Linked DNA regions of Schizosaccharomyces pombe. Changing the gene in region 4 together with the main gene of any one other region gives a genetic interaction. Each region holds a gene or a part of one and is shown on either strand. Other genes may lie near its edges. The genes, in order: sgf29, reb1, eif21 and par1.

Region 1 (7,506 bases), on a different chromosome or scaffold from region 4:
TCTTATTTTGGTTACATTGAGTACTCACAAAAACGGTGTTTTGGCAATGTGGAAGTTTGCTACTTCTAACTGGGATAAGTTGCTTTCAAGACTTCCTGTTGCTGGTACAATGCGTGGCTACGTTGTGAGATTCGTAACAAGTGGATTCACTCATGCCTCCGCTATTGATAAAATTAAGGAATTTTTTGCCGATAAAGATACGAAGTTGTATGAACGTGCACTTCAACAATCTTTGGACACTATTTCTGCTAATTCAAGTTTCATCGACAAATCACTGGATGATATCACTCGCTGGCTTAAGGAGAATCGTTATATGTAAGTCTTTGCATATTTAGAAACGGTATGTGGTGAATGCTTAAATTGTGGCATTTGAAACTGTCAAGTTGATCACCATGTTTTTATGAACGATGACTACTGCAAGTTATGTATATACTGATGGACGACGCCTTTACTTAGATTGCATACATCTATGAAATTTTGATTTTTGAAACTGACGTAAAATACATTTAAAGTTTTATAAATTTATGTTATAACAGTATGTTGTTTACTCCACACTGGCACTTTACTATTTTCAGTATACACCGACATCAACTAAAGGTGTGCAAAACGAAGGTGAATTACTGAATATTAACTGGAACTAATGTAACTTTAATTTCAATCATATAATAAAACGCTAATATAATAAATTTCTCGTATCGTCGGCCCTTACGCCAATCGCCTAAATTAATAGGACATAAGAGTAAGGTTCTTTATCAACGAGTTTTGATCTCGAGGTCGCAAAGTCTAAAAAGACTCTGGCAGTAGCATACGTACTAATTCACATAACCACCGTGGCTGACCCCTTAACTTTTTGATTAAAGAATAATGTAGCAAGCGCACTTGTTTATATAGTAAATTACATTTTTTAATAGGGTAGGGTTGTGACTACCTTAACGACTCGGAGCTGGTACTGTCATATCGCTGGTTTGAAATAACGAAATTTAAGGAGAAATTTAGCCGATTTCAAGGAATATTTTGATTGTATCTACATTTACTTGAAAAGACTTAATGTGTTTGTTGCAGATAGATGAGCATCGATTATACTTATATTTTTAGTGACTCAAAAAATCTCTAGCTGGTTTAAAAATGCATAAATTAAAAAAAATTAGAACGTAGAAAGAACTATGTTAACAATAGATGGCGGTTAAAACAAATTGAGAAAAGATTATAAAGAACGAAGCATTAGTAGATATGAAACATGTGTAAACGTTACGTTACGCACGGATCAAATAAATGAAACATAAACGAAGAATAATGCATATGCAAAGAATAACGATAGAGGAGAAACGATTAAACGTCCAAAGAAGGTAAAGGAATTGTTGCCTGAAGACACGAAAGTCGTTCAGTTTCTATCAAGGCACTGCAATTGGCACGATGTTCATACATTTTTTTAAACCAATTGCTTACCGTCGACAAGAGAGGGATGCTTTTAAGCTTATGGACGGCAATGGCGTCAATGCGTAAATAGCTTTGACGATAATTAAAACCTTCGTTGGGTAAAATCAAATCATACAATGTGCATTTAGAGAATTCCGCATTTTTTACATTACCGGAAAGGTAAATGCTATAGCCGGTCTGAGCATCTTCAAACGGAATAATAATATTACGGCGTTTAGCCACCTCATAAGCCATATCAGGAGATACTATATAGAAGAACCCGCACATGTACGGGAAGTCACGAACAGCGGTAGGTAATTCTCTTCGTGTGCAATCCCTTCCAAAATAAAAGCGGCTTTTCCCAACGTGCTCTTTCAACATTTCAAACAGACGGGGTAAATTCAAGAAAGAATCGTCATCGGCTTTAACAATAAAATCGTAGTCATGCTTTGGCTCGCCGAGATCTTGGAATTCCTTCATACCAGGCAACTCATATGTCTTAATACTTTGATTATATATAAAACTACCATGAAACTGAGTGCTGGGCATTATAAGATTATCTGCAAGTTCAGAAAAAAGAGGAAACGGCTGGTAGCCCTCTAAAAATGTTTGGAAGTATACAATGGACTTTCCAGCATCCACATTCTCCGGAATAGGTAGTACTGCTAAGTCACCATACGTTCGCTGCTCTTCGCGAATGGTAGCTAATTCCTGCTCATTCTCAGGTAAACCAAGGATAAATCTAACATCCACAGTATCATTTACGGCAAACTCCTTAATATATTCATTATAGTCGGTACGTAAAAAGTTACGCCTATCCACGTTCTTAGCTTGACTAAAAATCCCCAAATACAGTTTGAAAGGTCTGTCGTTCGCATGGGCAAGCGATTCATTTTGCTTAATGAAGGGATCTAAAAACAAATTCTCTACGTAGGCGAGTGAATGTTCTTCGGCCTGTAGACGATTTAGTACAAGAAAAGCAAAGGAAAAAGTAGCAACACCGGCAATTAGCACGTAAAGAAAAATTTTTTTTTTAGAATTTGAAAACATAGTGAAAGAGTTTAATTAAACGAGCACGTTGCGCCAGGAGGTCAATTAGAGAGACGTGAATATTAATTGTCCCTTTGAATAAAAGAATAAAATAAAACCAAACTTAAAGATCGTTGAGAATTAAACAAAAGACTCCTTGAATATATGAGCCAGCAAACAGAATATAACTCTGAAAGGAGTATAATGTTTGGTTCTGAAAACAAAGCTGTGCTTGGTGCCATATTCACGTCCACCATAAATACGCAGTCATAATGTAACCAGAAGAGCAGCTACTCAAACCCTTAATGCCCTCATAGCGTTGGTAACTATAAATGCGTTAACTATATATACCGGGTTGCTACATTTCTTTATCTCAGAGTCCATTAACCAAAGGATTCATACATATACAATTTTTCTATTTTGTTTATTTTTATGAATAATTTAATAGGAGATACTCGTTAAATGAACTTAGTTTTAGTATTCAGTTTCCTCTATAGGTGTTTGAAATTTTTTCTAGACTGTCATGTTACTACTATTTTTTAAAATTAGATTCCTTGCAAAATGTCAAGGAAGCAAGCAGATTTGGCGTACATTAGCAATGTTAGATGTGCAACACGATAGAAGCAAGTACTTTGAATGAGCCCTTGTCTTGGCTTAAGTTATTAACATGCGTTAACGCCATTAATATATAAAATATAAGGAACAACTCAACATCACAATGAATAAAAAAAATGTTAAATCTGAGTTATGCATATTACAGATAATGTCATCAATTTTTTTAAATGCTGTGAACCTAATATCGAAGTGAATAAAAATAACCTTTAACTAATACCTCCTAAAAAATCTGAGTAAAACGTTCCAGTTTTAACCATTGTACTCTAACACCAAATGACGCTCTACCACTGTTTCTTTCCCAACTTCCTCTTCTCCTTCAAATCGAAGTTTACATGATCCATCAGGCAGAGTGCGAATGACTTCTGCCCGATAAAACGTAGTAGTTTCAGGATATCGAGCTAAAACATTTGTTTTTGGGCTTATTGGGGGTAAAGGAGTTCCTTTTGCAGGAATTTGTATAAGATGATTAGCTGTAGTTTTATAAATTTGACCTGCATTACCGTCATCATCCGGTTCTGGATCCTGCACTTCAAATCTATGGTTTTGTTAATATACTGGTAAAAAAATATTATCAACATATAAGCTTAGAAGTAAATTTGAACTCGCGACTGACAATATTTGCTTTTGAAAACTCACCTCTGTTTTGCTCCTTCTCCAGTCACTTTAATAATGATACATTGAATCCAATCACCTCCCTCGTTATGCCTCGTGTATGGTAACTTGAAAGCTACAGACATGCCAGGTGTAAAGGTTACTGTATTTGCTGTAAAGCTTGTTCCTCGGTTTCGACGACTTCTCGTCAAAGGACTATTTGTAATTACAGGTTTTTCATTGGCTTTTTCGAGTACATTAATAATCATCTCAAGAGATTGCATTGTATGCTCCAATTCTTTTTTCTGTTCTTCAGAGGTTTGAATTCCCGCGTCACACGCTTTAATTCTTTCTTCAATTGGATTATCGTCGCCATCAACCGTTTTATAACATTCTTCTTGTTTTATTAAACTAGACCGAATGGGATTTAGGCTTTCATGAAATTTAACCCACATGGATGTCACATCCTCTTCAGCATTTATGGGGCGTACCATAATATCCTGTAACTGATATTCTCAAACAACACTTTTCATCATCCAATTTCCTTTGGTAGGTGCTAACTCACTTACTAGATTGATTTGCATGATACTATCAGCTATGCAAATTACTTTATTACAAATTTCATTAACACTCGATATTGTATTTACCGTATCGTTGCTGCATTAGGTTACGTAGTTAACTATTCACTTAAGTCATGGAATACTGTCTGTTAACGAAGTTCGTTAAACGATTCTCGTTTAGCAACGACTCTAAATACTGTATGTCGTATATTTCCTGCTAGAATACATCAATTCCGATTGTTATACTGTTGAAACTACAAATCCCAAAAAATTCAATATCACAATGAAAGCTCTAGTTCGAATCATGTTTTGCTTCAATCCTAGCTAGCACTGTTAAAGTATAGATATAAGAAAGGACAGCTTTGTTGATAGACTAGTTAAATTAAAATAAAAACAGTTAAACGTAATTAATATATATAAGTTTACGTTATTCAAAACATTTCAAAAAATGTGCTACTCTTTGAAGTACACGTCAGTAAGGAAACACGTTGATAAAAAGCCAGTATTCAAACATAGACAGTGTTAAATTATCACTGGAGATGATGATGTATGGAATACATGTCTAAATTTAAGCATCATAGTTAGAACGACAAAATTGATAGAAATTGAATAGCAGTGTAAAACTTGTTGAAGCGCGCACACAAACAGTAACCTGTAACAACAAGTCCTATAATCAAGCTTCTATATTGACTTCAGTAGGCAGCGAGATTTTAAGACACATCTAGGTAAATTTAAAAACGCTTTATTCAAGCTGAACATAATTACCAGGAAATTGACCTTGTGCACCGTTAAGTCGGCCAATCCACCATTCCTAAAATATATATTAGTAAAGTCCTTGTTTAATAAGAAAAAAATGAAAATTTAAGTTTAAGTACTTACATTTTGATTATCAGTACGTGAAACAACTTCGATACGATCGCCAGCATGAAAAGATAAATCTCCGGCTGCTTGGGCAGCATAATCATATAAAGCAACAACATGCTCTGCGGCGGGAGCCGCAGCAGGTGCAGGCGCTGGTGGAGGTACGGGAACTGCGGCTGCAGCTGCTGCTACCGGTGCAGCAACAGGTGTGGTCACTGCCGCAGCAGCAGGTTGAGGCATAACTGGAGGGGGAGGAAAGGCCGCTTGAGGGTATTGAGCAGCTGCTGCTTCAGTTGTAGTAGTGGTCGTCTGAACAGTTTGATAACCTGCACTTGGGGTAGAATAATCGGAAGCTCCGGCAACCGATGGCGTTGAGTATGGGGGTGGAATATCCGTAGCTGTCGAAGAGGAGGGTTCGGCTGCTGCTTCTTCACGCTTTGACGAAAAGGAAGAAGAAGAAGAAGCAGTTGCATCTTTACCACCCGGTCCCATACCCGGTCGTTTATACGTCGGTTTAGCGGTCTTAAATTTAGTAATCGTCAAAGCCTCTGCGCGATCTTTAACATCGCCGCGTCTTCTTTCGTACGATTCCAAAATATCGGTATTGAAATCAAAGTACTGAATTTCGCAGTGACTCATCTTTTCATAAAGAACGTAATAGACATTTAATTGCATATAGTAAAATCCTTGGAATAAGGGAGCAATGAAGCTCTGAGCCAATGCAAATAGTTTAGGTAACTCCTCCTTCAGCATTTCATTATAATATTCATATTCTTGGGAAGATTGTTCAAAGGCGGTTTCAGCTTCATAAAGCTTCTTCTCATCTTTAAGGCTTTTATCCTTCTTTTCCTGAAGTTTCTTGAAAGATGAACGATGACGATCATAATCCAGCTGCTTATGATCGCGTTTCAACAAAAGCTTATCTACATCCTTAACAATCTTGAGCAGTTCACCAGTTGGATTGACAATGCGAGTGTTGATAACATCCATTTCAGAAGCCAAATTCTTTTGGAGATCGTATACAATTTCCTTGTAAGCCTCGGCAGCCTCAATACCTTCCGCATTGCCTTCTTGCTCATACGATTCAGGATCCGAAGCACGCCCACTAATAGGCTTGTAAATTTCAATACAAGCATCGGCAAATCCAATTTGATGATTCAATAACCCATTAATAGCATCAGTATACTTTTTGGCGTCTTCAGCCAGCTTTTTCGCTTCCGTTTCTAAAGACTTAAACCGTCTTCCAGCATCCTCATAAATAGGATCTTTGGTAATCTCTCCAACATTAAACTTGCTGCGTAGAGTCTGCGGCGTACGCGCAAGTGCCTTTGTAAACCCTTTCCAGCTCATCAAGTAATTCTGGTAGTTGGTATGTCTGACCCTTTCAAATTCCCTTAACCATCCTTCTCCGTATTCACGTAGCATACTTCGCAGCAATGCTGATCGTTTCCTGTAATTGTGCCGAATCGCAAATACAGTATACTACGCAACGTCTCGTTATTTTTATTTTTATTTTTATCTAGATGAGGTGAAAACATAGTAAATATAAGGCAAACATTTGATTTTAATTTGCTCGTCTCTATGCTCTTTATTACAGTTTTTATTCGATTGAACAGTGTCTCCGTCGTTTACGATGCAATGATAACATACTGATAATTGCGCAGCTCTACATGTATTGGGTCGAAGCTTAGTTTTGGTTGGTTTCAGATACGCCGCCAACCAAAATTTTTATTAGTCAGATCGCAAAATTTGAACTTAGCAACTGCCAAATTATTTTAAAAAGGACTTGTTTCTTGTTGTTTAGGAAATAAATAAAGAATTAGCAAAATTTCCTCTATTTTGGAAACAACCATGTCCAAAATGGGAAGTTTGATGCTTTCTAGAGCAAGATGCCTTCTTGAACTACGAAGTGCTTTATTTTTTGTCAAGCGAGAGAGTCAGGATATTAATAATGTTAGACAGAGTCTTGGAGTTTACGGTAGGTCGTTTATGACTTCCAGTCGTATGGACAAACCTTCAATGAGCAATAAACCTCGTGAACAAATGTACGGGCTAGGAAACATGACGGCGGTTCAAGAGCCCATACCGGAAAATTCTTTGAAAACAGTAACTTTGGATCAAGCACAAACCGCTGCTAGTACGGTTACGGGATTGCATCCTATATATATGGATTTTCAAGCTACCTCTCCTCTCGACTATCGTGTACTAGATAGTATGCTTCCCTTCTTCACTGGAATTTATGGAAACCCACATAGTCGAACACACGCCTATGGCTGGGAAGCAGAAAAAGCTGTTGAAAATGCACGCCAAGAGATAGCATCTGTAATCAATGCTGATCCAAGAGAAATTATTTTTACATCTGGCGCAACTGAATCAAATAATGCTATTTTGAAAGGTGTTGCCCGATTTTACAAAAGTAGGAAAAAGCATCTTG
Region 2 (4,231 bases), on a different chromosome or scaffold from region 4:
TAGACTTGCAGTATATTCAATTTTGAAAGCACATACATCATCATTTATCTGGCCGTAAATTTTTATTTTCTCAGCCAACAGTTCATACTGCTGCAATCCAAGTTTTGCGTTTTTAGAAACTGCCAACTGGCCTTCAATATTCACACTAGCACCATATGATAGCCTTGATAATAAATTAATGTTAGTAGGAAAAAGATATCATATAATTTAGATTTTATGTCTCCTCCTCAACCATACTTCTTACTCTGTTCAGGCGAAGTCACCACTTGAAGGGCTTGTTGACATGTACCATCAGAAACCATGGCAAAACAAACATTTTTTAGTTTTCGGATAGATCGTACCCAGCCGTTTATGCTTATTAACTCTCCATTATGTGGGTGATGCCATAAAGACTTTAAAGTTTTTGGTAGTTGGAATTTATTCATACGGAATTAGCAAACAATTCAATTTTAATTATTAATTTACAAAAAATCCTCTATTGCTAAGGAAATTATGAATTCTTCCAAAAACTATTCGCCAATAACTAGAAATGCAAAGAGCGGTAGTAGTAAGGCGACTTTACATATCCTCAGTATGAAGGTGTTGCGTTAAGAATTAAGTCATTTTAATAAGGACTTGTAAAAAGATACAAAGTTACTTAAGTAAGTTAAAACAAATTTTTTCGTTCAAAAAATTGTAAGGACGTCAATTGGAGAATCCAGAAAGTACCACTTTAAAGTCATCAATGGCTGACTTCGTGGCTTCTAGAAGAGGAAGATTGTCGTAACTTGGTATCATTTTTTTCAAATTTATAAATTGAAACAACATCTGATCGCGTGTCCATCGTCCATTAGCTTCTTTTACGATATTTTCCCAATGAATTTTACCACCATTGTTCAATAACGAGTCGTAAATCCTTAAATTAAAATATTAGCAAGCAAGAGAAATTATGTAGGTCAATACTTACCTTTCTAAGAGCCAAACGTTTTCTTGAAGTTCAAATTTTGAAGCAGCCTTCGTCAATTGCTGAAATTTATAACGACACTGTAAACGAGTCCTAGTACCTAACATTTGGGCAACAAGCGTCCAATTAATGTCAGAACTTAAGTCTTCACGGTTACGGAGTTCAGCAACTATTTGCAATAACTGAGTTTCCTCTTCCAACGACCAAGCATTTCGTTTCAATTTATCGCCAAAACGTACTACGTCGCGCCAACGATCACGACAATCATTAGGCATTCGAGCCATTTTACGACCAATTTTCGTCCAGCATTTACCATGTTCAACAACATTTCTAAACGTTAATGATTTTTGAATAAAAATATAAACACATACTTTCTTAATTCTTCATCTTCTTCTTTGCTCCACACACAGCGATCTTCAAACGGGTTATATGCACGTCGTACATGGTGATAAATACTCTTGGCATCACGATGGGAAAGCTTTTTATATAAATTAGAGTAAAACATTCTGATTGTTTTTGGACATTTTCCTGCCCAAATTTGATTGCAAAATTGATACTCGGACCATCCTTGATCCATAATAAAATTATGTACTTCTTGGGAAATAATGGCAGTTTCCTGGACCCCGAAATCCCCTCTTCCAGAAGAATTTTTTCTACTATATTTCTCATAACCTGGGATGTTGTAAAGGGCCCGGAGGTGCCGTAATATTGTTCTTCTGGTAAAACTAGGCATTTCTTGAACCAATAATTTAACTAAAGAAGAGAGTGGCCCGTGAAGTCTTTTTTCGTGTAGAGAATCGGCTACCTGTGTATGGTCTAATGAATAGGTTTGACAGAAGTTTTGCATTCGTCGTTCTAAATAGTCCCAATGTTCCGCAGTCCATCTAGCACTACCTTTCAAAAATGGATCCATATTGGTAATTTCCGAAGGGCTTATTAAAATAGAATCATTTGTTTGATTCGAAGTAGAGTTTCTCATGGCATTCACACCTTTGTTAACTTTTGACAAGAAGGCGCTCGAATCCACATTATCATTTCCTAAAGCTATAGAAGAGGAGGCTAAAGCATCCAAATGAATGGATGTATTTTGTTCAGAAAGGTTGGAGTCTTGGGCTTGAAGAGACATTAAGGCCTCGAAATTGCGATCATTTTTACCATCTTCTTTAATGCTTAACGCGGGAGAAAACTTAGGCTCTATTGATCCAGAATAGTCATTGTTATTTGTTTTCAATCCTTTGTTAAGTGGAAAATCATCAAAATCATTCTTTCGTTTCCTTGATGATTGCAAAGAATCCACGCCAATAAATCCATGAATCTGAAGTTCCGGATTTAATACGGAGGTATCCATAAAGATTATATTTTTGAAGTACTATAATTGAGTAATCACTTCAACTTATCAATCGCTAATATCGTACAAAACGCTTCGTGAGCTTTAATTCGCAGTTTGCTAGCACAGCGATTTAGGAAGGGTGGGACACAAACTGAGGAGTGTAAATCTGAAATAAAGATGGTTTGTTATTAAGGGATATATCGACACGCTGCATTTCCTTATAGGCAATGCTAAGTAGTACAACGAAAACATTAATGATATACAAAAAATGTTGTTTTTGCTTACCACTTAGTACAAAAAAACTCATATTTATTATCGTCCTAAAATATGAAATTGTACTATTAATCAAATAAACAAGAAATGCAGAAATATACCAATAGTATTTAATTGGAAAAATTAGTAGCATACGAAGATTTGTCTTTAAAAATGAATATCCCAAAAGAAATACAGAAATAGTTAGGAATAAATCAATTGAAATGAGAATGAGGAGAAAATTTTTTTTGTACTCACATACATGGTAAAAAGTATTTGCATTCGATAGTAGTTGGAATTTTTTTGAACGAATCTATAGCACTATTTACTCTGTTACAAAACAACTAAAATAAATGTTTAATTAATTGAACATTTTGAAGAAATTGGGTTCTTGGCAATAAGTTTACAAGACCGGGATCTGATGATCATAATAAACATTCAGAAAACAATGGGTTTGGCACATCGTGGTCAACTGATCATTGTTGTTGTTTTTCTATGAACATCATATTTTAGGAGTTCTCTTACCATAACATCACCTTTTGCTGGTTGATGACTATAATATTGTTATTGAGATATTTTTTATCAACAGTTTGTTTTGATGAGTGCATTTGTTTAGTTTAAACGGTAGCATTAGGTAATACGGCGATCACAGGATAGCTTTATTTTTAGCAGTTATACAGAGTATTTAGCAAATGTTTGTTTACTGCAGTCATTATAGCTCATAATTAGCATTTTTTCAAGCCACCTGGTTTCATAATTCTGTAGCAATGTCTTGCAGACGGGCAGAAAAAAGCACTCAGTAAAAACAAATAAAGCATGGAAGGTATTTATTCACGAAATAGGAATCTCAACATTTCCCTTCCATCCCGACTAACTTCAACTTATAAAGAATTGGTTGACAATGGGAGACCGATTCATTCCCATTCGCAACGTTAGCAATGAGTTCAACTTTAGTTTCCAGTCATTCAAAGAATGTGTGTTAAGCCATGGATCAAATCTTAGGCGCAAAACCTCTGGCACTAGTATGTACCTTTTTTAGTTTTATATTCCCATTACTAACGACAGCAGTTCAAAGGCAATTCATGGAGCTACTAAGCATGGAGCTCTTCGGTTCACAAGCATCTCGCTCTAGAGCCTTCTATTATGGAGAAGACAAAAGGAAAATTGAGAAGAAAATGTTGGATACACCTGATAGAAAATCATATTCTCTATCTCCTATTTCACCGCAATCTCAAGATATGTTGCGGCAACCACAAAAGCCCAAAAGAGCTTTTCCAAAAACTCCATATAAAATCTTGGATGCACCTTACTTAAAAAATGACTTTTATTTAAACTTGCTTGACTGGGGCCAATCTAATGTCTTGGCAGTCGGACTAGCAAGCAGCATTTATCTCTGGTCAGCAGCAAGTGGTAAAGTGGTTCAATTACATGATTTCGGAGCAACAAATCATGTCACAAGCGTCTTATGGACAGGTAAAGGAACTCAATTAGCTGTAGGGACAGATTCAGGAGTAATTTACATCTGGGATATCGAGTCTACGAAATCAGTCAGATCTTTAAAAGGTCACTCCGAAAGGGTGGCAGCATTAGCATGGAACGATAATACCCTCACAAGTGGAGGCAAAGACGAAGTAATTTTACATCATGACCTAAGAGCACCAGGTTGCTGTGCCGAAATGATGAAAGTTCATGAACAAGAAATATGC
Region 3 (8,737 bases), on a different chromosome or scaffold from region 4:
GAGATCCTGAAGTAGGTCTTCAGCAACATCCTTAGATAGACCCATATCCATGGACATTATGGCCATCAAGTTAACCTGGAAAACCAAGAGTCCATAACTCATATCATCTAAAGAATTCATTTTCTGTGACCGAACCAAAATACGTTCGGCAGCACGAAGTGATTGTCTAAATCGTTGGCGGCGTTCTGCCCTTGAAAGAGTATCGTTGTTGAAAATGTTGGCCTTTACATACCTGATAATAACATAGCAGAATATAAGACTAGGGGTTATTCCAACTGTTGCAAAGACGAGCTCTTGACTTTTTAATAGTCGATCAATACCACTTAATGCTACCTCGACGTCAACTTTTGTTTTTTGCAATTGAATAAGCAGTGTCCGAACTAGATTCCCCGAAACGGCAGTTCTAATCGGGGTTTTTAAGTCATGTTCATATGCTTGCAAAACGTACGTAAGATCTCCTTGCTGTACTTCTTGTTTCACCAAATCCAAGTTTATACCAGCAGGAGAAGTATCGGATACAAAATCAATCACCATTCTCTGTAAACTTTCCATATCACTTTCTAAACTTTTGGTTTGCAACAAAGTAATTTGCGAGTCAGCCCTGTTAGAGCGGATGGTGTCAAATATTCCTAAAATCGGTTTTTGAATCCAATTAGTGTAGAAATCTACAGCCGTTGAATAAAGATAATCTATCCATAGACGTATGCTGGTTCTGTTTTTTGTAATTATTTGGGTTGACAGCCAAGCGGAAAGTAAAGTAACGAAAATTTTAGGCCAATTTCGTTCTATTGCACTTGGACGAAAATAGGCTTTAGCCTCAAAATATTCATCTGTTGGATGGCTCAGATTATCCAATGTTATTGAAAGAATGTCTGGCAAAGACTCTGAATTGTCAATCTTCTGCCCTTGCAGTTGTGAGAGTCTTTGGATCCATTGGGAAACAACTTGTTTTAAATCAGCTTTTGCTGAAATGCCATTTTTATCACCACTTGATGAAGCAGCATCACTAACTCCTTCACTCATAATTGCACGAGTTAAACATCCAATTTTGCAAGCATGCTCGTCCCTAAGTTGACGAAGTCGCTTTGCATTGCCACGATATTCATGTCGTATGAGAGAAAGTAAACTAGCCTGTGAAATGAAAGCATCACGGGGAAAAAGAAGGACATCCGACTTAGAAACTTTAGGGAACAAATTTTTTTTAGCAAAAATATTAGAGAAATTTTGAAATTGTAGAATTGATTTGATGGAATTTCGACAAATGTGATATAGTCTAGTAGGAAAAGATTGAATTAGGAATAAAACCCTTGAATACCAATTTTTATCGATGCTTTCCCAATAATGAAGGTTATCAGACATAATCATCGCTTCTTCTAACAATTGATCTAGCATTTTTACGTGTAAATGAGCTGAACACCTCCCCAATATTACCCAATACAGATAATCTTTTGGTCCCTTATCTAGCTCCTTCACTTGAGTAATAACATTTTCTAGTTGATAATTTGTCAAGTTTGTTGAATCCAATTGTTGAAATACATGAAATGTTACTGAATTGGAAGTGGTCTCTCCATGCACCGCAGCAAGCTTATTAAAATTTGCATATACATCCTTCAAATGTTTTTGATAAAGTTCCATATTGCCAAACTGTTGTTATTCACCCGTTTTGTTGCAGTCTCAAAAGCAAAAATAAGATATTAGATATAATGACTTCTCTAGATATGCAAACACGCATTCACTATAGTTGAAGAATTATTTGGGCATTTAAAACAAAAAAAAATAGTCAGTTAAAATATATGATATTTGAAATGGGTGTAGTTCTCGGAAAACGTCAAGCACTTTGTATGACCACATTTTTCGTAGGAAACATCATTGGTCTCATTAACCATGCCAACAAATGACTTTACTTTGCTGGTGAAATTAGAAGGAGTGATCTAATTCGCTAAATAAATTTATTAATTATCTGGTGAATAATACTATGCAGGCTTATGAACACATACGTTAGGTATCATTATATGTAGCTTCTTTTGTGTATCAATTAGTATACACTATTGACAGGTTTTTTTCCTATCTAATATGACTCTCGTTAATACAATAAGAGCATATCTCAATTGAATGGCTGTTCCTCATTATATTGGCGAGCTATTTCAATGTTATGTTATTAAATCACCTCCATATTAGAATATTCCTGATATCTGTACGAGTAGTACACTATTATACGGATATCTCTTCTTTAAAGAATTTTAAATATATACAAAACCCCTGCTGAATTAGCTAATAACCGTACTGAAACTTGGTCCAGTTTTAATATAACTGTAGTGCTCGAGGGAAATGTGTCCGTCTTTCGTTGTGATTTCATTTGGAATCGTGAGCATCGATCCTTTATTTATCTTAAAGATGAGATAACGCACCGTCGCATAGCATAGTGAGATTTAAACATATTACCAAAGCTGTGATAACGATAGCAAAAATACATTAACGTTGATTTGCAGATTAATTTAACATATCCTAACATAGGTTTGATATACCCCGTTAAAAATCTTACGAACAAGGTACGGGTACGTCTTCCACGAAAACACCAAGAAAATCCATCAGTGAGATGTCCTCGAAAATTCGGCCATCCGCGTAAGTGCAGCACTTTCTGTAATTTCAATTAACAAATAGAGACGACAAAAAACTCCAACGAGTTCTTTATTTCTTTCTCGAACGAGTTCGAGCGGCAAAAGATGTTTCGTACGTAGAATTTATTATCTAAAAACTTTCCAGAATAATAACTAACATCTATTTTTTTTTCAAGTGGTCAATTACTTTCTCCTCTAATAGATAACGCTTCAGTTGATACAGCATCAGTATCTCCTTCGTCAAATGGCCGACCTACTACTCTGAAGTCGATTCAAAGCAAGATTGACGAATTTCAGTACCATGATTTCTCTGAATTTGTCTCTGATCTGGCTTATTTATTTATTAATGTTAAGGCTCTCTATGAGGGAACGCAAACATATAGCTTTGTTCAAGCCCTTGAAGAATTTTGTATACAGCAATTACGGACGTTTCAACAACAGGGCTACATTCCAGTAATAACCTGGCCAAATACGGACTCACCATCTGCTACCACTAGTAGCCCTATCAGTAGAAATCCAGAATATAGTGTTTCTCCACCTAATGGTTCCAAGTTTGTTAAAAATGAGGACGAAGCTTATGACTCTGATTTATATGTGGAGGAGGAGGACTCGGATGTAAAAGGAAGATCTATGGTTGGTAGGGATGGTAGATACAAATCTGAGGATTTAAAGCGCCGAAAACTTCAGCCTTCATCCAAACCTCTTAGCTCATTAGAAGCTCGCGCAAAGGTCATTATGCGGCAGGTAAGGAGATACAGAGATGGGAGTGGAAGACAGTTGTTTGCTCCTTTCGAAAGATTACCTGATCCTCGTATGTTTCCTGAGTATTACCAGGCTATTGAACAGCCGATGGCTCTTGAAGTCATTCAAAAAAAGTTAAGCAAGCATCGTTATGAAACAATCGAGCAGTTCGTAGATGATTTCAACCTCATGTTTGATAATGCTAAGTCATTTAATGATCCTTCAAGCCAGGTCTATCGTGATGCAGATTTCTTAAAAAATTATTTGGCAGACGTACTAAGACTTGAAGCTGGAAAGCTGGATAGTGAATTCTTTAATTATGAAACCGATTCTCGAGCCTCTCCTCAATTACCAAAGAATGATATACAGCCTGCTGTATCCATTGATGGCACATTACTCAACGTAGGTGATTGGGTATTGATTCGTAACCCTGCCGATTCAAGTAAGCCAATCGTTTCCCAAATTTATAGAATCTGGAAATCCGATGATGATATTAATTATGTTACTGTTTGCTGGTATTTAAGACCTGAACAAACTGTGCATCGAGCTGATGCCGTTTTTTATGAAAATGAAGTCTTCAAAACATCCCTTTATAGAGATCACCCTGTCTCAGAGATTGTGGGAAGATGCTTTGTTATGTACATTACTCGATACATTCGTGGTCGACCAAAAGGAATTCGTTCCACACCCGTTTTTGTTTGTGAGTCACGTTATAATGATGATACTAAACAATTCAGCAAAATCAAATCATGGAAGGCATGCATGCCCCAAGAAGTTAGCGGATCTGAATATGAGATGATTTTGTTTGACCGACCTATTACTCTGACAAAAGTTGCTAGTCCATTGCTACACTTATTGGCTAGCAAATCTCAGGGTTTGCCTTCACCTGCGACAACTGATAGTAATACACATATGTTGCCCTCACAGGGATCACTTCTTCCCCCGTCTAGTATTTCAGAGACAAAAAGTTTTTCTACCAAGGCTTCGACTCCGTTATCGACTGACGATATAGCCACACCTCTGTCCTCTGCTCCAAATCCTCCCAGTGTAATGCCCACGTATGCTAGGAAAACAAGTTCACATTCAGAAAGATCTTCACATTCTTCGTATCACAATTCTTCTCATGTGCCTACGGCTGCATTCAATTCACCGATTATGCGTACTTCCACGAAAAGTACTAGTCCTATTCCTGCTCGTCCGTTTTACGCTCAATCTGGGTCCTTGCAATCCTTAAATACGACGCAACATTCTCATCAAATTTCAGGTGGTCATTCAGGACGAATGAACGTTCCTTATGCTAAATTAAGCTACACTTCTCATAACGGAAGGCACGGGGGATCCAATGGTAATATATCTGGGGCGAAAACCCCAATGACTAACTATACCATCAACAGTATGCCTTCTCTTCCAGTATTTCCACCAGCTTTCATTGTCCCAGGTACGCACCAAAAATTGGATGAATCTTCCCCGGTTCCCGGAATCGATGATGTGACTGTGATTAATACTGAAACTGCTAAAATGCTTGATAAGGATGAGCACCAGAACGTTTTATGGTACACGGTCCCCCCGTTAGACCCAATTCCTTTGGAGAATAGAAATGGCAGTTTAACTCACTCGGTAGAGTATGTTCTTTATAAGAAGAGCAAAGGTTCACAGGTTATTACAGAAAAAGCAAGATCGAATGAGTTGAGTCGTGAAGCTAAATTTGAGAATCTTGTTGCCTCACTGTCAGATGCTTTGATCCCACCATAAAGTGAAAATTACTCACTGTGATTTTTAGAAAACAAATATTGTGATAGATTTGAAGATTTTTAGAACCTAATAATGTATATACTTTTTGTCTATGTTTCCACAAATGAATTTATAAATATAGTCAAGATGCGCCTTTGGCGAGATTGAGTTTTTGCAAGTACGATAATTATTTAAAAGCAAGTTTAAATTGGTATTAATTCTTTAGAAGATGTACAGTTGAGAACCCACTTCATGCTTTGTTTTCATATTACTGGACTCTTTAGGTGTCGCTAAATCGGCGGCTAACGCATTTTGCTCAAGTATAGCAAATAAGACTTCTACAACCAACAATCGCTTTCGTGGACTCCATAGCATGTCTCAAAAAAGCCAGTTTGCGTGTTCGTAAAATTTTTCTAAGTTGTCAGCTAACATTTAGATCGGTCATCAAAGTCCATAGGGCTCGTGAATGCTAGTGAAAACTATGCTTCTCCTCCCAAATTTGAAGCTATATCTGAGCCTGCGCGTAACGCTTGTTACAGTCCAAACGGGAAACTCTTTGCATATGCCACTGCCACTCAAGTTGTTATTAATGACACTGAATCCGGCGCAAAGTTAACTCAGCTCCCTGCTGCTAACACCTACGAACTGGGGTTTTCACCTCTAGGCAAGTATTTGAGTACTTGGGAACGCCCTGGTAAAGAAGCAGATGGAACGCCTAAACAAAATATGAAAGTTTGGAATACTGAGACCGGCCAACTGGTTTTTAGCTTTGTACAAAGAAATCAGACTGGATGGAATTTACAATATACCTGCGACGAGTCTTTAGCTGCTCGCCTAGTCACGAATGAAGTTCATTTTTATGAAACAGGGAATATGTCTAAAGGTCCTATTGCTAAACTTAGGGTCGAGGGTATTAGCGATTTTGCCTTGTCTCCTGGACAAAATCATGCTGTTGCTGTTTTTATACCAGAAAAAAAAGGCGCACCTGCATCTGTGCGTACGTACAGCATTCCCAATTTTAACTCTCCTTTGTCGCAAAAAACATTTTTTAAGGCTGATAAGGTGCAATTCAAATGGAATGCTTTAGGTACTTCTCTGTTAGTTTTAACGCAAACTGAGGTCGACAAATCAAATAAAAATTATTATGGTGAGACCAATCTATACCTTTTAGGTATTACCGGACAATTTGATTGTCGAGTTGACTTAGATCGTGAAGGTCCAATTCACGATGTTTGTTGGAATGCAGACTCCAAAGAATTTGGTATTGTGTATGGCTATATGCCTGCAAAAACTGCTATCTTTGACAACAGAGCAAACGTTGTAAGCATTATTCCTCCTGCTCCCAGGAATACTTTGATTTTCTCACCTAACTCTCGTTACATATTGTTAGCAGGCTTTGGTAATTTACAAGGTAGTATCGATATTTTCGATGCTGCAAACAATATGAAAAAAATAACCACGGTGGAAGCTGCAAACTGCACTTACTGTGAATTCAGTCCGGATAGTCAGTTTCTTCTTACTGCAGTTACTTCCCCTCGTCTTCGTGTTGACAACAGCATTAAGATTTGGCACATTACTGGTGCTCCCATGTTTTATGAAGAATTTAATGAGCTGTACCAGGCTTTCTGGCGTCCTCGACCTTTAAATCCTACCTTGTTGCAAAATGCTCTTACATCTGCTTCCTTACCTTCTCCGCCTACACCGCATGCATCGGCTAGTAAGTTGGCTGCAAAACCTTCAGTTAAGCCAGCTGGGGCTTATCGTCCACCAGGTGCTAGGGGTCAGAACTCTACCTTCTCTTATCGCCGTGAAGAGATCGATGTAATGAGCAGTGGAAGTGCCAATAAGCACGTCAATTCTTCTCGTCAGCGCGTTGTACCTGGAGCTACCCCTGTAATAGATGGAAACAAAAAGAATAACAAAAAAACAAAACCTGCTGTTAAACAAGTTGCACAACCAACTGCGGAGGTAAGTGACGAAAAGAAAATTCGTTCTTTGTGCAAAAAATTGCGCGCCATTGATGATCTGAAGTCTCGTCTCAATAACAATGAAAAACTTGAAGCCACTCAAGTTAAAAAGATTGAGTCCGAAGGGAAAGTTTTGGCTGAACTCAAGGCGCTTGGATGGACACCGGATGCATAGAAAGTTCTTGAGCAAGTGTATTGATTAAAGAATTTTATTTATTCTGTTTAAGAATTGAATTTATTGCATTCTCGAACAGCTTGGTTTTTTATAGCTGCTGACGTTGAAGAAGTGAATAAAGTTTTTCAAATCTTCAGTCGTTAGGTTTTATTAAATCAAAAGTTCGGCATCAGCTTGTTGCTTTTTTAAAACTAGTATTTTACATCACTTTAATGCTGGAATTAAATAATAGCACACCTGTACAGAAAAACTGCTCATTCGTGTTTTGAAGTCAATCAAGCACTAAGCAGCGTCTCTCCCAAGTTATCTTTGTTCGTTTGTCTCTCTTATCATGGCTACTTATGAGATTTCATTGTTCAGGTTGATTTTCAATAATCTTTTGTCATTCCCTCTTCTTCAAATTTAGACCTTATCTTAAGAAGTTATAGCACACGTCCTTTAAAATATCTACATATCACTGATTTTATTGAAAGTTAAATTCAATTTGGTACATTTTACCAAAGCTGATTCATATGTATAGCTTGTATTTTAGAATTGTTACAATTGGATTTTATTGATTTTGTAATAACCATTGGAATATTTTAGTATGAGATAAGTGACAGTGGGTAGCATAAACTGGTGCTACCTACAGCTGAGCTATATCACCACCAAGAACTACATTTTCTTTTGGCAAAAGCAAAATGTCTAAAGCTGGTGCGCCTGATCTTAAAAAGGTATGCTATTTTTATTCTTAATTTAAAATTCTAATTCATGGTTATAGTACCTAGATAGACAGGTATTTGTTCAGCTAAATGGATCTCGAAAAGTTTACGGTGTTCTTCGTGGTTATGATGTATGTTGCTAAATGTAAAAAAAAAAAATATCTAACTTTTATTAGATCTTTTTGAATATAGTATTAGAAGATTCCATTGAAGAGAAAGTTGACGGTGAAAAAGTAAAAATTGGCTCGGTCGCCATTCGTGGAAATTCCGTTATAATGATAGAGGTAAGCATTCAATGTGTTTTCTGTAATTGACCATAGCAGACTTTGGATAAAATGACCTGATAATTCAGAAATTGGGTTGTTTCTTTACATTTATTTCGTGCTCCAACCCTTATTAAAAATAAAGTGGTGTATTTACTTGCATAAAATTAATAAAACAGATTTAGGCTGACGTTTAAGAAATGAGTGACCGTTTTTATAATTGATACCGTCTGAATTAATGATCTAATATGCTTTTTGCTAAAGAGACCAGCAGACTTAGAATTTGTTGTGTAGCGTTTAAAGTCTGTATTTTTTATAGACAATAATTTATATGTTAATCTTGGACAAAGTATCGGTATATAATTCGAAATGGCTGCTTCTATTGAATTAAATTGCTGTTTTGATAGTATTTTAATCATCACATCCAATTCATTTTTATAGAGAATAAATTTTATGTAAAATATTTATATTATTATTATTATTAAATTAAAAAAAAAAACAGAAAGAAAGAGCAGCTATGTTTAATACATTATATTTTAAT
Region 4 (8,790 bases):
TTTCTAATTTGCGTTTTGTCCTCTGATAATCTGATGAAGGCAAGTCAGTAGGGATTTTAAGCTTCCCCAATAAGGATATCATAAATTTTCTCTCTTTTCCTACATTTGTTGTTAGTATTAATGTCGTTTCTTGTATTTAATCCCCACCTTCAGAAGCATTAGGTAACGACTCAAAAATCATGTTTGCTAAATGTAGATGTACATTATGATTTAAAGCGATATAATCATCTCCTGTTTGTGTTTTTCTTTCATACAACTTTTCGTTGTCAGTCCAATCTAACATTTGCTGAGCTATGTGTCCTATGCTTAATTGAACATCATCTTCATCAAGATCGCGGTATATTTCTAATAAGCTTAATAGTGCATCGCAGAATATCTAAAATGCTGTTAATTATCTATTGTTTGTTCAATAAAAAATAATGATAATTTTCCTTACAGTAGCTATTCGCCATTGATTCTCGTGTGCACCAAAGGCATAAACAGGAAAGAAATAGCCAAGAACTTGCCGTAGCGCATGATTATCAACTGTGTTAGGCTCAAAATATTGAATGATGAGGGGTTTTAGAAACTAGTTGTTGTAAGTAAGTTATAAAAACACAGCAACATACCAGTTCGTCTCTGTAATGCAATATTACCAACAACTTGGCTATCGCCTCAGCACCGAGAGTCTGTAATTCGGCATTTTCGAATTCCCCTAAAGCTTCAAAAAGTATAGAAGAAATAGCATCTTCATATTCGGTGAACTTGGCTTTTCCATGTTGTATTAACATATCAGTCAATGTACGAATTGCGGTACACTTTAAAACCACAGAACCTTTCTCGTAACAATGTAAATACAAAGGAACGTTTTCAAATGCAAGATCAGCATTCAACAAGCAAACCAAACTAAGACACTCTAATCCTTTTTCTCTAATTGGCAAGTCATGGCTCCTCACAGCCGGGATAATTAAAGTCTTAAGCATGTCTACCATATATAAGTTTTCATTTAAGGAGGATGTGATGTTTTCAAATAGACACTGAACGTACGAAAGGCATCTTAACTCATTAAAAGCTTCTTTATATCCATCCATGTCGTCAGGTTCAGGCTCATTTAGTTCATTAGGTGGTAAAGATGGAGATGGTGACTTTTGCGAAACAGTAATCTCCTCACCCTCATAATCATTTTTATTCAGTTCTGGAGCATTGCTGTTCCCTTGTTCCTCAGTCTGGTTTTGTGAATGTCCTTGTTCAAACACCTCCGTAATAATTTCAACTAGCAATGAGCAAAAATCGTTTTCAGAAGAGCAAAGTTTCCTTAATAGTTCTATATGTAAAGAGATTAGTGAATCTGGAAGGGCCATAGTAGAAAGACTATTTGTAAGACTCTTTAAAAGCTTTCTGCGACCAATTTCATCAACCATGTCCTGGCTTAGACCAATGTATAACAGTTGTTCAATTATAAAACATGACTCATCATAAGAAGACTTGTCTCTAAGAGAAACATACTGCCTTTCGATATAATATGTAAGTTGAACAACTTCAGGCATTTTATCCAAAAGGTCAGTGTAATTTTTCTCTATACAAATTTCATTGAATGTCCTAGCAAGCAAGGAAGACTCAGCTGTAAGCTCTAACCAAAATTGTTCGGGGAATTCCAGCTGAGACAAACTATCCACGCGTACATCAAAGAATTTTTTAATTGCTAAAACTGCAACATCAGAGTTGTTAGACACATCAAGTCTCTCTAGAAGTTCCAAAAGATTGTTATCAGCGTTTTCAATCCACTGATATGCAAGCATATCAGCCGCGGCTTTTTCAACAGATTCATCACGATCATTTAATCCCCATTTCAATATCCTTACTCTCTTCTTTATGCTTAAATAACGAAAATCTCCTATTTTCGGTAATACTCGGGCATAGACACATTTTCGATTGGCAGCATCAACATCGCGTGCTCTTTCAAGAATAAAAGGGAGAGTTGAGTTGCTAACTTCAATATTTAAAAGAACAGACCTTCGCACTTCAGAGCTAGGATCGTTTTGCAATAAAAATAAAAGAATATTTCGAACATCGTTTTCTTCGTCACCGGTGTCTTCTTGAAGCCGAGATAAAGCAACAACAGCTTCAAGGCGGACTATCGATTCCCGGTCTAAAACTCTGGACAAAAGCTTTTCTTTGAGGGTATTGTAAAGGTCATCATCAATTTCTTTTACACAATTAACCACTCTGGCAATAATTTGGCAGCAACGATATCTTACAGTTTTATCTTTGGCATCTAACCCACGAAGTATATGTTTTAAGATAGGTTGAACAATGTCTATCTCAGGATCCTTCTGCTGAAGGTAATTAACAAAGGTTACTAGGAACCTCAAAACGCGGTCAGCATTTGAGTTTCCTTTTTTAACAGTTAATATAATATTTAGCGCCCTTAGGATGTCGGTTTCAAATCCTTCCTGCGTCCGTAGGGTAAACAATTTGTTGCATAGCTTTCTATGACCAGCAATTGAAGTTTGACTAGATGAAATAATTTGAATGCAAGACATATTCAATAACAATTATATTATGCCAATTTTAGTGCTTTTGCTGAAGTTGAGGAGCACCTCACTGGCATACCTACAGTTGGCTCTCAGTGGTAGGTTAAGCTGGGGTATGCAAACAAAAAAATGAACCCTTCTAGCTTAGGCCCACTTGAGATTGCAACATTCAATTTGAAAAGAAGATTGCTACCAAGTTACCGATTTATATTTTATTACAATCAATTAAAAGAAAAGGAAATACTAACTGAAAATGATATAGTATGTAAAATGTAAAAGAGGGAATATTAGAGACTAAGTACAATATATGGATCATTATTAAAATATGCAAGTCCTAACCATTGGTGTAGTCAAGTGAAAGTTTTTTTAGTCTCTCAGTAGTAGAGTGCACAGTAGTAGGGTTTTGAGATTTAAGTTTCATAGCATTCTCTTTAGCGATGTTTTCTAGTATAGTCCATCTTTCTTCTCGTATAATTTCTTCATCTTCTTTTTTCCGACGACTCTCAGAATACTCAGCATCAACTTCATCGAATAAAGAAGGATTAATGTCCATGAACAATTTTAAGACGTTACAAACCATAGAATGTATAACTCTAACAAAACGTCAGCAAGAACTAATAAACCACTTTCTTTATCTTAAATAAAGAAAATAAAAAGGGATTTTAAATGAGTAACTACTTACCTATTCCAGTGACTTTTTGAAATTTCAAAGAGTGCGGGATATATAATTGGTAGTATAATGTCAACGTTTTCTTCAACCAAATGCACGAAATAGTCGTTGTTAAAAAAATATAAAGCTCTTTCAGCAACTTGGAAATTTTGGCTAGATATGGATGTTGCCAACTTGTGGAAGAGCGGCACCTGGATCTTTAAAAACTCTGAAGGTTCCATCACTTCAATAATATCTTCAATTTCATTTAAAAATAAGACTTCTTTTGAGCTATTTACTTTCGGCCAGTATCGAAGTAAGCCCAAGACAACCTATATTGTCATCGTTAGATAAAACGTAAGAAACACTAGGAAATATACATACCTCTTCTGTAACAGATGAATCCTTTTCAACAAATTGAACAATTCCATAAGCAATTTGAGGGTAATAAAGGGGAAGGGATTTGGCTTTATGTAAAGGAATAAGAACACGTGACAAGAATATTTTGTGTTCCTCTTTTAGTGGTAGGGCAAATCCATTAATGATACTCCCGAGGATTTCCAACAGTTCGGCAATACCATTAAATTGCTCGTTCTCATAGACAAACTGCAAAAATAAATTATTAATTGAGCGCCTTATGAACGCACGAAGAGAAAGAAACTTTCCGTATATTCTATGAAGTGTAGTCTTTAGAAAATCACGTTCCCTAGGATCTTCGCTGTCGAACAATACAAGTAATTTCCTAATAAATTTTTGATTAATATACACCTTGGCTACGGATGTATTCAAAGACGGAGATTCAAAAAATCTTAAGAAAAAATCGTAAACAAGGTGAAGATGGGGCCAAGCAACTTCCAAAGCCGGCTCATCTTCTTCAAGATCCATGATTTCACCGGGAGGATTAGAAGGAGGAGGTAAAGGACGAAACACATTTACTGCAAACATATGAACAATGGATGGATACAATGACTCATCAATTGCTTCCTTTCGAACAGATATTAAATCAATGAGATCTTGAAGAGCCTCTCGCTTCACTTCTTTTCCGTAAAGATCGGTGGAGGGATCGTTGAAATCGAAAACAACGCAACATTGTTCTAATTTTTCCAACGCCAGAGAGTGCCATTTATTAACAGGAACATCTAAATAGACAGGTTAGTAAATTAAATTGGTTGACAACAAAGTATATTGATAACACCTCAGTGTTTGTCAACACCAAGTACATTAAATCAGAAAGAAAATCCTATTCAATGTTTGTGGTTTAAATCATCTCTTAGTAAAATAAAATGAAATGTGAGAAAAAATGGAAGGATTCCTTTTTCGATATCAGACACATCAAGCTGAACAGTAAATCCACAAGCGACACCAGCATGTGCCGCATTGAACACCATCCAATTTCATGACATTCTAATAAGAAACAAAATCTTTTATAACTACTTAAAACAATCAATGAAGTGTATCCATAAAACATACCAGTAAAGGATGGAAGACGGACCAGGTTTCGATTTTCAGATATATGGTAAAGGGATGAACGTTGTTTACGAACAGTCCTGACATTCTCTAATAAGATCTCATCTCTAGGAGTTGGTGTGGTATCAATAGGTACTTTCTTTCCTGAATGTTTTGGAACAGTAAGAAAGTCGTTTTGGGCACCAATCACAGAACCATTGGGATCCGTCGAGGGAGACTATGAAAATGTTAAAAGTAAGTAAAAACCTTTTCCGTACCTCTTTCGGAGCCTTGCTAGAGTCATGGGAATTCGATTTTTTGCTTTCCTTCTTCTTGCTAGACTTCTGGGTATCTTGAGATTTCCCTCGAGAAAGCTAGATTCTGGTTAATCAAATAAACACTAGATATGGATCTTACCATTTTGCTTTTAATCCCTTTCATCTTGAGGGCTATTTGGAGCGCTCCAACCCTTTCTTCTTTGAAGCTTTCAAAACAAGCCTACAAATTTGGAGACAAAGGGAGTTCAATTTGAAGCTGTTTAGCAGCTCTTATATAACCGTAAAGGCGCTTCTAAATAGCAAAATTTTCGAAGAAAATTCAGCCGCTTTCTGAGAATTTAACACTTTTACTGCTTTTTTGGAATGTACCGACAGGTGGAGATCCGGTCGAGGAAATACCGTGTAGCAAACACACATAACGAAACATAACACCACTTGAAAATTTTGTTTAATGTACCGGTACGTGAAGCTACGAAAGTACAAAAGGTCGTAATTTTATTTAACGATTCTTTAATGTACATCGGAAAGTGGGTTTGACAATAAACAAAGAAAATAAATGATACTTACCCAAATTTCTGAAAAAAAGCGTAATTGTATATGTTGCTTATAAGCTTTCTAACATCAATCTCATTTCATAATCTCCCAATAAGTTAAAAAATTTACAGCAACGTGCTAACAGTATGGATCTATCGGTCGTTACATTTTAGGGTTCGCAGTTGATTTCTACTTTATACAAGAACGAAAATTTAAATGAAGCCTTTATTTTACAAAACCTTTGAGTCAGTGATCGGTGCATCTCATTTCTCAAAAATGTAAAAACTAACTCCCAAGGCGAGACTCGAACTCGCAACCTTCTGATGACCATCATAAGAGTCAGACGCTCTAAACCGATTGAGCCACTCGGGACTTGCTTGTTCATTACGAGATTAAGTACATAATATATATTTTACAAAATGTAGTGTCTTTTAATTGTTAATAGTCAGAATGTCTTTTTACTAAACATTCGTTGACATTTTATTGTGAAGCTTAATGTTGATTAAAATGTCTGTACGCCAAATTATTTTTGAGGCTTCATAGCTTAGGCTAGTGGGTGGGTTGCGAAAACGAATGCATTGACTGGTTTGAAATTGGTATTTATTCTTTATTTAGACACAGCACTAATGATACTGGATTGAAAAAAATTCCTTGAAAAGAGTTACGAATAAAAATACTAAAGTATGGTAAATATATAAGTGTTTCCTTCCCTACCCCAATGAAACGAGACATTCGAGTGAACTACTCCTATTCTCGTACTAGGAATAGCATCGCAGGGAATAGATGCTGTTGAGTTCACTAGACTTGAGAATGCATATAAAAATCAATTTTGTACGAGCGAGTAAATCGTCAATTTTTGTTAACGTAGCATTCCTATCAATCTGAACAATTTTTTTTTTTTAGTTTTCAAATTATTTCAATGATCATTCATATCAAGATTGTCATTTCTCAAGTTATTTTTCTATGAACTACTCACTAGTTAACCTACTTGAATAACAGAATAAATACTATTATTTAACACAACAAATGTCTACGGCCATACCTAGGTGAAAACACCAGTTCCCGTCCGATCACTGCAGTTAAGCGTCTGAGGGCCTCGTTAGTACTATGGTTGGAGACAACATGGGAATCCGGGGTGCTGTAGGCTTCCTTTTATTCTTTTTGCTTTTTGTTGTATTTGTTTCTAAAGAGGTATAGTCCAGTTATTATTTCTATTCATAGTCTAACTTCCAATGTATGAGGAAAAACATACATAACAATTAACTAGCTTGTTCAAGCTTCCATCATTACGATGGATTGGTGAATTACAGACAGCGTGAAAATGGAAAATGGAGTGCTTCCATTTTCCATTGTCTTTTAACTTAAAAAAATTTTTGAGTTTTCGTCTTCTTTTGACAATAATGCTGTATTTTGAATACATTTTTTCATTTCTGTTATTACCAAGTGAAGAAAAGCATACAGAAAATAACTAAATCAAATATAATGTCAGTTAACAAACTACAAGCGAGTTTAAGAATATTTACGCAGTATAAAACACTGTTTTTCTCTGCTTTACATGCGCATTTGCAGTAGGTTTGAAATGTCAACAAACCCAGCACATACACCTTTTCCAACTACCATCGTTACTATTTACTTAACGATGCATGCCTTATAATGTGTTAACTTGTTTTGTTTAGTACAAGTTGAATGTAAACAAAAGCCGAAAAGCGTTGAAATTAAAAAAAAAAAGCCGCAATCGTCGGAACCGAAAGGCGGAGTATTTAAGACCCTCTGTATTTCAATATTCTTACTATATTTTTGGCTCTTAATAAAAGCAGCCAAAAGACTATAACCTTTAAGTGAGAGTGTCGGTTTTAGCAAACGTCCCTTTTTGAAAAGTAAAACAAATTCTGTACGAATCTCGGATACTTTTTTAAATTTGTACTGAAAGGGAAGATTTCGAGAAGAAGACTCTTTGTTGATCAGTAAGCAAGGCTGAAGAAGCGATCCAGACGAAGGCGTAGCTGAAGGCTTGATTTAAAGCTGCATTGTAAACGAGACAGTTACCAGTGAATGTTGTTTACTTGACGAAAAGGGACTATGAATCTAATCTGCTCCATTCTGCCGAAAAAAGAACCTTCCTACCTTAAATTATGGCGAAAGCAAGTTATATACCAGGTATTAACGGACAGATTTGCTTTGGATGAGGATAATTTTTATGCAAAAGCTAGCGGAAATCTTTACCTTGGGGGTACATGGAAGGGTATTACTCGTAACCTTGATTACATTAAAAGTCTGGGATGTACGGCAATATGGATTAGCCCAATAGTTAAAAACATATCTGAGACTACGGATTGTGGTCAGGCATATCATGGGTATTGGGCACAAGATATGACTCAGTTAAACGAGAATTTTGGGACAGAAGAAGATTTGAAAGAACTAGTCAATGCAATTCATGAGAAAAATATGCTTTGCATGGTTGACATAGTTGTCAACCATATGGGTCATGCCGGAAGCAAACCCGTAAACTTCTTACTTTATCAACCATTTAACTCTGGGAAGTATTATCACAACTGGCAGTTTGTACAAAATTACGATGATCCCCATGAGACAATTACAGGTTGGTTAGGAGATTCACATGTGAACCTACCAGACATTCGAACCGAAAAGAATGAAGTTCGCAAATTTTTTCAAAATTGGGTTTCTGATCTAATTAAACGTTATCAATTTGATGGTATCAGATTGGACACAGCCAAACATGTCGAAAAATCCTTCTTCCCAACATTTATTGAAGCAGCTAATGTATTTACTACAGGAGAAGTTTTTCATGGAGATCCTAAAGTCGTCGGGGATTATCAAAAATATCTCCCTTCGACTTTAAATTTCCCTTTATTTTTTCAATTGCGGGAAACCTTTCTTGACCCCAAACATTCTATGTTTTCATTTTATGATAAGGCCGTACTTGATGTTCGACATTACTTCAAAGATGTTACCGTCTTGTGTAACTTTTTGGAAAATCATGATTTTCCTCGCTTTTTTCATGAAACCAAAGACATCGCCGTAAGTCTATTGAACAATATTTCAATTTAGTACCTGCATTTTTTATATATTTTAACATTTATTTAGCTGGCTCTTAACGCATTAACTGCACTTATTTTCATGGACGGTATTCCAATTATCTATTATGGACAAGAACAGATGTTTGACGGTGGTAGCGATCCTGACAACAGAGAAGGTCTTTGGAAAAGTAAATACAATACTTCCAATCCAATGTTTAGACATCTTTCTTCAATGATACGCACGCGTCAAAATTTGGTTGAGACCTACCCAGAGTTTACATACGTGCTATCTTTTCAACTATACATTGACGATTCAGTTTATGTATTTACTC

Evidence for each region.
Region 1: mutations in par1 (region 4) and sgf29 together harm fitness more than expected from each alone (negative genetic interaction), as found in Schizosaccharomyces pombe (2 studies listed by BioGRID).
Region 2: mutations in par1 (region 4) and reb1 together harm fitness more than expected from each alone (negative genetic interaction), as found in Schizosaccharomyces pombe (2 studies listed by BioGRID).
Region 3: mutations in par1 (region 4) and eif21 together harm fitness more than expected from each alone (negative genetic interaction), as found in Schizosaccharomyces pombe (2 studies listed by BioGRID).

What each region holds. Positions count from the first base shown.
Region 1 is NC_003423.3:2,415,837-2,423,342, forward strand, and holds sgf29 (SAGA complex subunit Sgf29), read right to left. Parts: upstream 4,210-7,506; 5' UTR 4,146-4,209; coding exon 3,697-4,145; exon of another isoform or gene 3,596-3,696; coding exon 3,310-3,595; 3' UTR 2,902-3,309; downstream 1-2,901. Other genes in the region: aminopeptidase Ape2, read left to right, coding at 1-319; pvg3 (galactosylxylosylprotein 3-beta-galactosyltransferase Pvg1), read right to left, coding at 1,330-2,466; BAR adaptor protein Hob1, read right to left, coding at 4,954-5,022, 5,091-6,422; cysteine desulfurase Nfs1, read left to right, coding at 6,924-7,506. UniProt on the Schizosaccharomyces pombe protein: Chromatin reader component of the transcription coactivator SAGA complex. SAGA acts as a general cofactor required for essentially all RNA polymerase II transcription.
Region 2 is NC_003423.3:191,252-195,482, forward strand, and holds reb1 (RNA polymerase I transcription termination factor/ RNA polymerase II transcription factor Reb1), read right to left. Parts: upstream 2,359-4,231; 5' UTR 2,292-2,358; coding exon 1,315-2,291; exon of another isoform or gene 1,274-1,314; coding exon 947-1,273; intron 896-946; coding exon 685-895; 3' UTR 501-684; downstream 1-500. Other genes in the region: asparagine--tRNA (Asn) ligase Slm5, read right to left, coding at 37-163, 238-425; ubiquitin ligase Mfr1, read left to right, coding at 3,427-3,547, 3,594-4,231.
Region 3 is NC_003423.3:3,413,425-3,422,161, forward strand, and holds eif21 (translation initiation factor eIF2A), read left to right. Parts: upstream 1-5,432; 5' UTR 5,433-5,463; coding exon 5,464-5,488; exon of another isoform or gene 5,489-5,526; coding exon 5,527-7,232; 3' UTR 7,233-7,765; downstream 7,766-8,737. Other genes in the region: protein Nca2, read right to left, coding at 1-1,635; RSC complex bromodomain subunit Rsc1, read left to right, coding at 2,597-2,622, 2,662-2,730, 2,795-5,111; Sm snRNP core protein Smg1, read left to right, coding at 7,913-7,945, 7,993-8,064, 8,110-8,217, 8,257-8,277.
Region 4 is NC_003421.2:1,472,036-1,480,825, reverse strand, and holds par1 (serine/threonine protein phosphatase PP2A regulatory subunit B-56 Par1), read right to left. Parts: upstream 5,254-8,790; 5' UTR 5,050-5,253; coding exon 5,026-5,049; intron 4,983-5,025; coding exon 4,887-4,982; intron 4,847-4,886; coding exon 4,633-4,846; intron 4,302-4,632; coding exon 3,547-4,301; intron 3,495-3,546; coding exon 3,196-3,494; intron 3,107-3,195; coding exon 2,848-3,106; 3' UTR 2,723-2,847; downstream 1-2,722. Other genes in the region: condensin complex non-SMC subunit Cnd3, read right to left, coding at 1-99, 148-376, 437-568, 609-2,522; SPOM_SPCC11E10.09C (alpha-amylase-like protein), read left to right, coding at 7,500-8,459, 8,526-8,790. UniProt on the Schizosaccharomyces pombe protein: The B regulatory subunit might modulate substrate selectivity and catalytic activity, and might also direct the localization of the catalytic enzyme to a particular subcellular compartment. Has a role in cell shape control and septum formation.